Neodiprion lecontei: one gene and its partner. The protein of the gene in region 2 interacts with the protein of the main gene of each other region in a pairwise test. Links are inferred from orthologs where the notes say so. Each region holds a gene or a part of one and is shown on either strand. Other genes may lie near its edges.

The links.
Region 1: the proteins of developmentally-regulated GTP-binding protein 2 (region 2) and RWD domain-containing protein 1 interact in binary tests that used the Homo sapiens proteins (3 or more experiments, as listed by UniProt). The link is inferred for Neodiprion lecontei from reciprocal best matches to the Homo sapiens genes DRG2 and RWDD1.

Annotation. Positions count from the first base shown.
Region 1 is NC_060262.1:25,213,890-25,218,746, forward strand, and holds RWD domain-containing protein 1, read right to left. Parts: upstream 3,234-4,857; 5' UTR 3,091-3,233; coding exon 3,021-3,090; intron 2,350-3,020; coding exon 2,000-2,349; intron 1,861-1,999; coding exon 1,674-1,860; intron 1,539-1,673; coding exon 1,423-1,538; 3' UTR 759-1,422; downstream 1-758. UniProt on the Homo sapiens protein: Protects DRG2 from proteolytic degradation.
Region 2 is NC_060263.1:2,933,291-2,937,838, forward strand, and holds developmentally-regulated GTP-binding protein 2, read right to left. Parts: upstream 2,610-4,548; 5' UTR 2,479-2,609; coding exon 2,415-2,478; intron 2,289-2,414; coding exon 1,981-2,288; intron 1,906-1,980; coding exon 1,475-1,905; intron 1,383-1,474; coding exon 1,181-1,382; intron 1,099-1,180; coding exon 1,012-1,098; 3' UTR 815-1,011; downstream 1-814. UniProt on the Homo sapiens protein: Catalyzes the conversion of GTP to GDP through hydrolysis of the gamma-phosphate bond in GTP. When hydroxylated at C-3 of 'Lys-21' by JMJD7, may bind to RNA and play a role in translation.

The DNA of each region.
Region 1 (4,857 bases), on a different chromosome or scaffold from region 2:
AAAGGATCCAAGTTCGCTAAGTTTGATATCACTTACAATAGTTCGTTTCTTAAAAGCTTAATGAAGCCGTTCGTTTACCGCTGATAAAATGTATTATTTTATTCTCAAGTTATCTAATGAAATTGTTCTTACGATATAACTTTAGGTACGCGCCCTTCGGGAATTGAGAAATTAAAAAATGTATTTTTTATTATTTTCGGTTGTTCGAAACTACTAAATATTCTCGTAGAAATTTAACAATCGGGCAATTTCGCGGGTCCTTGTTAAAGCTTGCAAGCTCACAAAATCCGCGCTGTCATTTGTTTCGCACTGTGGCCGCCATTTTGCCGCCGCGTATCGCCTCCGCCTCGCTCGACACTTTTCACTGATATTTCGCAAAGTTCGTGAGCTTTACACGCGGCCGAGTGTCAAACTGAAAGCTCGCTGTAAAGCAAGCTCTCCGGTGATTCTACGGAGTTGCGCCTGTATTGATTGTCGGAACGGCTTTCGGCCGTCTGGCGAACAAAATGCGAACTATTATCACTTCTGATACGGCGAGTGCCGCTACCTCGATATAAAGCCAACTGTCAACAAACCTGCGGCATTTCTAAACGCTAGGCCTTCCGTTTCGTTGCGACCTCATTAAATTCTTTCGAATATGTAATATATCCATGTATGAAGTATTAAGCTTCCATTGGATGAGAAGAAAAAATTACCAGGGAGAAATTCCGATTTTTTCACTGTTAATCTGTCGCAAGGAAAAAAAAAAAATAAAATGCTGGACATTATCGTATTTATTTATATAAATATTTTTTTATTACTTATATTTGCTCCCTACCGATCCAATGTTACAAAATAAAAGTTCAATAGATGACACGGAGTTGTTTGTGGTTTGATACTCATCAAATTTTCTTACTGTTATGGGTCAATTACCCTGCACACCCACAAGTTGGATTCCGATACACTGTGGGAGAGAAAACGGGAACGTTTATTTAAATGAAACGAAATTCACACACGTATCTGATGTTAAAAAAATTCTGAAAACTTTAATTTGATCAGTCTAACACGATCTGTCGATGAAGCTCTTGTTCAATAACAGATTTGAACTCTAGGACGGTTTTTTTCTGGGTAACAAAGCATATATGAATTTTACGAGATTGCTACATTGTTATTACGTTCTTACTTCAAACTATTATGATAAATAGGTGAAATAAGAGTACAATACAAAGTATCTCAAGTACCGGTAAACTAAGCTTTGTTAACATAAAATATCCAGCTATTTACAATTGTTACAAAACACTTCAACGGTATTAGGCATATGAATGCATTTGGTGGTCCATGCTTCTTGCATTCGTTCATTACGAGTTTAAATTCCTCGTTGCTGATGACTCCAGGAGCCTCTGTCAGTCAGTCAGAATAGCTCACTCGCTACCATCAACATTGTTAGGCACTGTCATCAGACAAATTATTTGGGTCAAAATCCAGATCATCCGGATCATCGTCCAAATCAAGATCTTCCAAGTTTTGAAACAGACTTTCATCCACCTTGACTGCATCTCCTTTAAAAGAAAAATAAACTATGGAGGTCGATCGGATCGACAAATATAAATATGACGAAGCTCATATTATGAATACTTCAAGTTCGCGATAGCAGATAATTTGAAAATTAGTGAATGAGGACTGAAAATACATACCGTCTTCCAAGAACTTCAAATCAGATTGATCTAATGTTTTATCTGTCATAAAGAGCTCTCTTCCAGTCAACTTTTTCCCTTCACGCTCCGCAATTTCACGTCGTTTTGTAATTCCCATTTCATCATCGAACTTCTCTTTCCAGGTTAGAAACGTCTCGACAGTAACTCTTGTTCCCTCAAATCTTTTCTGCAATTTTAAAAACATTAAAGTTGACCAGCGCTGTTGATATGCAATTGTAGAAATCGGAACAACAGAAGTGCAGCATGGTGAAACAACTTAGATTTAAAATGTATGATACTAATATATAATAAATTATTGTTTTTACTCTTTCTGCCTCTTCTTCCTCTTTCAGTTTCAAGGCAGCACTTTCTTCCCTATGCATTTTTATTTTGTCCCACTGAACATTGAGCCATTCTTGCGCAGCACTAACGAGGGTGAAAACCATAACCATGCCTAAATTTTCATTCATTTGATCCGCTAAGTGTTCTTTGAGTATCTGTTCGTCACCATCCTCAAAGTTTTCTTGATCCTCAATATCTACGACTAGTGGCTCATCAGGATATTTAGCTGTGTAAGTAAATTCTAGTCGACAAGCTAAACCATTGCTTGTCTCTAGTTCATGTTCTTCAGATTTAATTGGGATTGAAAATTTGTAGAAGGGCTGCTTTGCTATAACTGAAACCAAACCAAAAGCATGTTTTACTTCACATTTCAAATGTTATTCATACCAAATGTCACGACACCGTACAGTAATTTCAGTCGAGTTACAACAGTCACGCGAGAGTCGATCAGAAAACTTGTGCAGCTCCGGCATGGCTCCGGTGAAATCGTACGAGTGAGAATAAATAATTCAAATTATTTAATATGAAACGTTTACTATTACAGAATATATTTCTCTAATTGAAAATCTTCAACATTATACATATGAAGTGATTAAAAAAAAATAATGAATGAGTTTCAATTATTTCACAAATTCTCACATCGTCAAAGCGCATTGATAAATAACTGTTTAATCAATATTACAGCCGGCAGAGTTGGAAATTTAACTTCATCATCATTAAATTTTATAGATAAGATATAAATAGTGTGCCATAAATTTATTTGTCAGTGTATGCGAAAAAAATTTCGTGTTTACATGCCGTTCCAGGAGCCCTTGTATACGACAAACTTGAAGCTATATTAATTTGATAAATCTAAGTACATATCCATTGTTTGTTATTTTGTGTCTGCTAATTATCGTGCGTACAGTGATTATTCTGTGATTCAATAAATAATAGGTTATGTTAATAATGCCGCAAAAAGTGACGAGTATAGGTTATGTTTTTAACGTCGAGGTATGAACTTACTTTCCATATCCCCACAGTATATGGAATCGAGCGCCTCAATTTCATTAACCTGCTCGTCTCTATAATCCATTTTTTAATCCCGTTGTCTCCCTCTCACAAATCAGCCAGAGCGTAAATATTTTTTATATGAAAACCAGATTTTAACCTAAACCCATAGTGACAATTACCGGACGATACAGAAGATAGGGGATAATAGATGGGATATTATCACGGCTATTAGAGCACTGGAGAGTGGAGCTGTTGGAGTAAGAAAACCGTAAGGGAAATTTGAAGCATAAAAATTACAGTGTCCACCAGCGGGCGCTGCTAGTAAATATTTTTCCACGGTTTATTTCACATTACGGAAAGACTACATTTCTCATTGCAACACAGATTCCTTTTTGTATTTCATATAATATAATATGTCTCATTCATTTTGCAGCACGCAATCATTGTAAATAATTGATTTACATCATTTTTACAACTAACTATCGTTTGATTATTCATTAAAATTTATTCACTTTTCCAATATATTTAGCATCTCTAGGACGCTGAATTTATTTTTTCAGATTTTTACAACGTCAACATTCAGCTACAAATATTTCGGAAAAATTTTAAAGTACGTCGTATTTAGTTCCAATTGTTTCAAAAATGTTTTTGTAGATATAAGTTAATACAAGGACCCAAAGTCACTAAAACTAAGTTCTGCAGCAGTCCTTTACATACTGCAATTAAATTTTTCAATCTGTTACCAAACGAAATAAAGAATTTACCTATATTGACCAAGTCAATTACATATAAATTGAAAAAATGGTTAATCGGCCACCCTGAGCATCTATCAACGCTTTAGTAGAATATATCCGTCTTTCACTTTATTTGTAAAATTTAAATTAAATCATTTAATTTTAATCACAATTAAATGTACAAACTGTATGATTTTTCTTAATTTTAAAATCAAATTTAAAATTGTTGAACTGGCATTGTTAGATTATATGCCTTTTCACTCTTCCCGAGCCTATGCACAGGAAACTTTAAGTTACTTCTATAGGACTATAAATGTACTTTTGTATATTACTTCTGTATATTATGTATATTTATATTTTCTTGGGAATAAATAAATAAATAAATAAATAAATGAATATTTTATTTAATTTTTTTGCTTTGCTGAGCACTTTTAAAATTATGAGGTAACAAACGAAAATCGTCGTGCATTTGCGCTCTTGAAATGTTCCAACGGTAGAGTTGAGAACTTATTGCAGAACATCAGAGAGTTACCGATTTCGACGCGATACTGGCTGCATTCACCTATACTTAACCCGTGTGTACTTACCGACTTGTCGGCGATACAAGAAATTAATAATGAGAATAAATTTCTGACAAAATTCGTAGCAAAACAGTGATTTAATTAAAGTATAAGTACCCGAGAGAACAGTGTATACGAAGATTATGAATAATAATGGATCAGATATCATAATAATGTAAAGAACCAAAAGTACATATGTATATGCGGTCCATGTACGATATTAATCATTGATCCATTTACGATTAATACGTGATGCATGCTATAAATTTTATAATTTTCCAGGAGACTAACTAGATGATCTACAATAATATGGCTGTAATATGAAAATAGAACAATTATTCATTTTGAAATAGAATTCTATTCGACACGCGCTCGATGTATTCCATGACATTGATATTCGTGATTATTCCAACAACTGTTCATTTGCTCTCTCGATCTTGAATTTTCGTAGGCATAGAATCGAAACGCTGTTTGAGCTAGTTGCAAGTGAAGTATTACGTTGGGTATAGAAGCAGAATTGTTTTCGAGAAGTAAGTAAGGAAAAAAATTCAGAGT
Region 2 (4,548 bases):
CTATTTACGTGAAATCAGTTGTCGCATTCATGGGCGTCATGTTACATTTCTGTGACATCATCTTAGATAGCTCTACCTCTAGTAGTATATGCTCTAAGCGCGGGAACGATTTGTATTAATTTTCATTTGAAATGTGTATGAAAACTAACAAAACTGGTCAATCTAATAACAAAATTCGGAAAAATTGAAACTATGAGCGAAAATTTGGAAAAATAGCACAGATGAACCCGAAGTGACTCAAATTGAAACTCCAAATCACCGAAGCATATCTCGAGTTTTATTCAGTTATATATCGACTCACCCGCCTTGTTTTCTTAAGTTAAATACCGATATTACAACAAATTCCAAACAATTAGAAAAAATTGGAATAGGAAATTAAAAATGTAGGAATTTGGAATCAGGAAGAAAAATTCTTTAAAAGTGATAAAGTTTCTTTAGATTTCGATATAAATTACCACAATTCTTGAAAAGAATTCTTTTTCTTTTTGCTTTGGCGGACATCAAAATACATTAGATCTGAAGAAATTTGATTGGGGTCGGTAACTTTGGTGCAAAGGACAAACGACAAGACCTGCAGTGGACAAAAAAAGGTTCGCCATGGTCGGATAAGTTCATAAATAATACGGAGACTGGCATAATGGGTGTGGGGATGCCATTTTTTTTTCCAAATAATGAAGCAAGTATTTTCATTCGAACAACGTTAAAAGACGAGAATGTTTCTTATCAATCCATTAACAGTACAATTTTATTAAAAACGATGTAATAAGTCAACTAAATTCGTGGATACTTGAGGAAGAAAGAATTGACATTGAAATAATGTGTCGCATAATTTTTTATAGCTTGGATATTTATACCCCAAAAAGTGACGTTATTTCATCCATTTTGTGGATTGCTTATTTTTAGAATATATAAAATATACATTAGGCTTTGCGAAGCTGATAATATCGTTCACCATCATCATTAGTATATTATACTATGGTATATTAGTCAAACCAAAGTATTTGCATTGATTTATTTTTTGAGCACTTGTATCACATCTTCGTCATGCATCACATGTTGCAATCCTACCCTTTGGGGTGAGTATTTTGTGCTCGTGCCCTGCAAAGAGAATGTTCATCGAAGTTTAGAGGTGGTAAATATCTCGTCATTTTTAAACATACTTTACATCCGGTAATCTTACCCAAACAAGAGCATATTTGAATTGTTCAGCGAGAGTCCGGTGAATGCTGTGACAGACATGTTCGACCGTGACTCCCTTCCGTAAAATCAATCCATCATCAAAGTCTGGTGGTTGACCAGGTTTTTTAGTGTAAACCCTGATGAGTGACAAATATTCCCACAGAACCTCCAGCAAATAGTCCAAATTCAATTTCATGTTGCAACTGTCGTAAGAGTATTTTAGCTTAGAAGTTTTGTTGGTGGAATTGCGCGTGAACGCTTTCCAAAAACTGATAGTATCCTATGCTTGACTCACCTAACTACGACGCTGTTGCTTTGCCTCGCGATTCTATCAACTTCTTCTATAGATATTTGATCAATCTTATTGTATACGTACAGGCAGGGTAGGTACACTCTGTTTGCATTGATAACATCGATGAGCTCATCGGCAGTGCAGTCTTCGCGAAACAATACCTCAGCGTTGAATATTTTATACTCATGTAAGATCATTTGGACCAACTTCTCGTCAACTTTAGTCAGTGGGCAAGTAGAGTTGAACGAGAGCCCCCCACCCTTCTTTATTTTAAAATATATATTGGGTTTCTGTTTGTTCAGTCTAATACCAACAGACTCCAATTCTTTCTCTAATAATTGTCGTTGTACATCTTGTTTCGTCGCATCTAACATCATCAATACCAAATCTGCCGTTCTTGCGACGGCTATGACTTGCCTCCCTCTTCCTTTTCCCTGGGAAAATTACCAAGAATTAGAAAACTCGATGTACGCGAAAACATCGCCGGTGTTTATTTTTCTAGGCAATACCTGAGCGGCACCTTCGATGATACCGGGCAAATCTAAAAGTTGTATGTTTGCTCCCTTGTATTCGATTACACCTGGTATGCACGTAAGCGTTGTGAATTCGTAGGACGCAGCTTCGGATTCGGTGTGAGTAAGGGTGCTGAGTAAAGTGGATTTACCCACAGAGGGAAAACCGATCAGGGCGACCCGCGCATCTCCTGATTTCAGTACATCGAACCCTTCCCCCTTTTCGGATTTCTTTGACGGCTCTAATAACTGGGAGCGATACTTGGCTAACTTTGCCTTCAATAGGCCGAGATGATACTCCGTCGCTGTAAAAACAAATATCGACCTTTAAACGACGGTTGAGAAAATTAGAAAAAATGCAAAATCCCCAGACTCCGAGCCGGTCACGGCGTTGCGGCTGGCAGACACATAACCTCAAATCCGAAACAAACCCTTATTTTTTTGCGTCCGAGCGATCTCTTTCTCGATTTCTGATATTTTTTCGAGTATACCCATGATTGGCTACCCTCAGCTTTGAGCTGCTTGTCTTCGCATCGACGAATTTACAACTAACGGCGACACAATCTGCGCTCACTCAAAATCACACTGACCCACGTGAATAATTTACAATTCGGTAAATCAAGCATAGACTACCCGAAATCGGAAAAGAACTTGGTAGATCCAGAGTTGCCAACCTATCGGACGAATATTTCTTTAAAAGGCGCCAAAATAATTCTTCAGATTTCTTATTTTAAATGGCACTACAATAATTCTTCAGATGTCTTAATAACGTCACAATAATCCGTCATGTTTCTCATTTTCAAGACGGACAATTTTCCTATAAATATATAATAATAATTAACGAGCGAGGCAACTCAAAAATTTATATGCTACAATCTGAATTGTAAGTATAAAGATATTCGGGACTTTCATGTAAATAATATGTTTTTATTTTTAATATTTAGGACCGTTAACATGTCAAATAAGTGCGTTTGAAAATTGTAGACGCTATCTGATTTGTGCATATTTTCTTGGGAACCTCACAATTTGTCGATGTTTAGTCATATTTAGATATTTCGCTTCTTTCAGTCTCGAGATTACGCCAGAAATCTTCGGATTTTCCTCAGAATCTGGCCTAAGCGACAATAGTTTATAATAAGAAAACAACTTTTCTTTTTTCTCTGAACCGTTTGAACGGACTCTAATTTCTTTAGATTTAAATAAATTTCTTTAGTTTTGGCAACACTGGGTGGACCGAAGAGATTGGCATTGACTAGCGAAGTGACATAGATTGAGTCAAAAGTGGAGAATGTCGGGTTCCGCTTTTACCGGTCGATTATCGATCCAACGCATGCGCCAGCAAATCAAATTGTTGCGCAATTTGCCGCCGAATCCAAGATCCCTGGAATAAATTGCATATAAAATATGCATCCCATTATCTCGGCGGGTGGTCCAATGAATAAAGTATAAGAAGAAGCAAAAGTAAAATTTCCTTCAGCTTCAAGTTTTACTTGTTTCTTTTTTTTTTTCATCGTTTTCTCCCTCCCGAATGCTGTGTACAATTTGTTATACAGACGTAGAAAATTGAGATATTATTCTTTCTCGAATAACTCTGAGATTCTCGCAAAAAGCTTTCGTCTGCTGCATGAATTATTTTATACGATAACGGGCTGCTCACTTGAGGGATAAGATATGTTTTAAAATGATTAGATTTTGTCGAACACAGCGTGTTCTTCGTATACCTGCACCGAAGTTTTACACAAAAAAAAAAAAAAAAGTATCGAATGAAAAATTTTACATACACGACACGTAAACGTCGGGACGTATCAAAAAGAGACAAAGGCCCAGGCGTATCTACGCTCTAATAGCCCGCGACGTACATGCATTAAGGAATTTCCACCTGGCCGAGCACAACCTTTCCAAGTGTATAACCGCCATTGAAACGTGTGCCGTCGAATTAACATCACTCTGAAAGTAAGATTCATCGCTGAATGCGGATCACGCGGAGCTGGATAAAAAAGCTGAGTGAAAATGAATAAATTCAACGAATCGGTTATATGTCGCACACGGTGTTCAAAACGTTGTTGCATGATTGAGGAGATCGTACGATAAAAAGCCCTTGCTCTTTTTTTTTTTTTTGACGGCTGCACACTTCGATAACATTATTTTAACGCGGTTAGAATTATTTTACATTAGATTAACGATGAATTGAATTTTCCAACTGCGAATCAGACAGAATTTCCTCATGTAATCATGAGAATGAACCATGGTTGAATAAATAACTTGTGTATGACCATGGAGTTTGTTATTATTCCCATTATTAATCTACGTTTTATATTCTATGTTGAAAAATTATAAAACACTTTTGTTTCTCTGAACTTGGTGCGATAAACGATGAACATTTAAGGTATTTTAGAGTTTGATTGGAAACCAAAATAAATCACAACCGGTCTAAGATTATAAGGCATGTCTTATAGATAATCAGCAAATTCGGTGAGGTTTGGGCAACTAAACTAATCAGCGTATAAGCTGATCGTACGGTGAATAAGACTTGAACGAAAGACGACGACGAATGAAGAAAAAAGA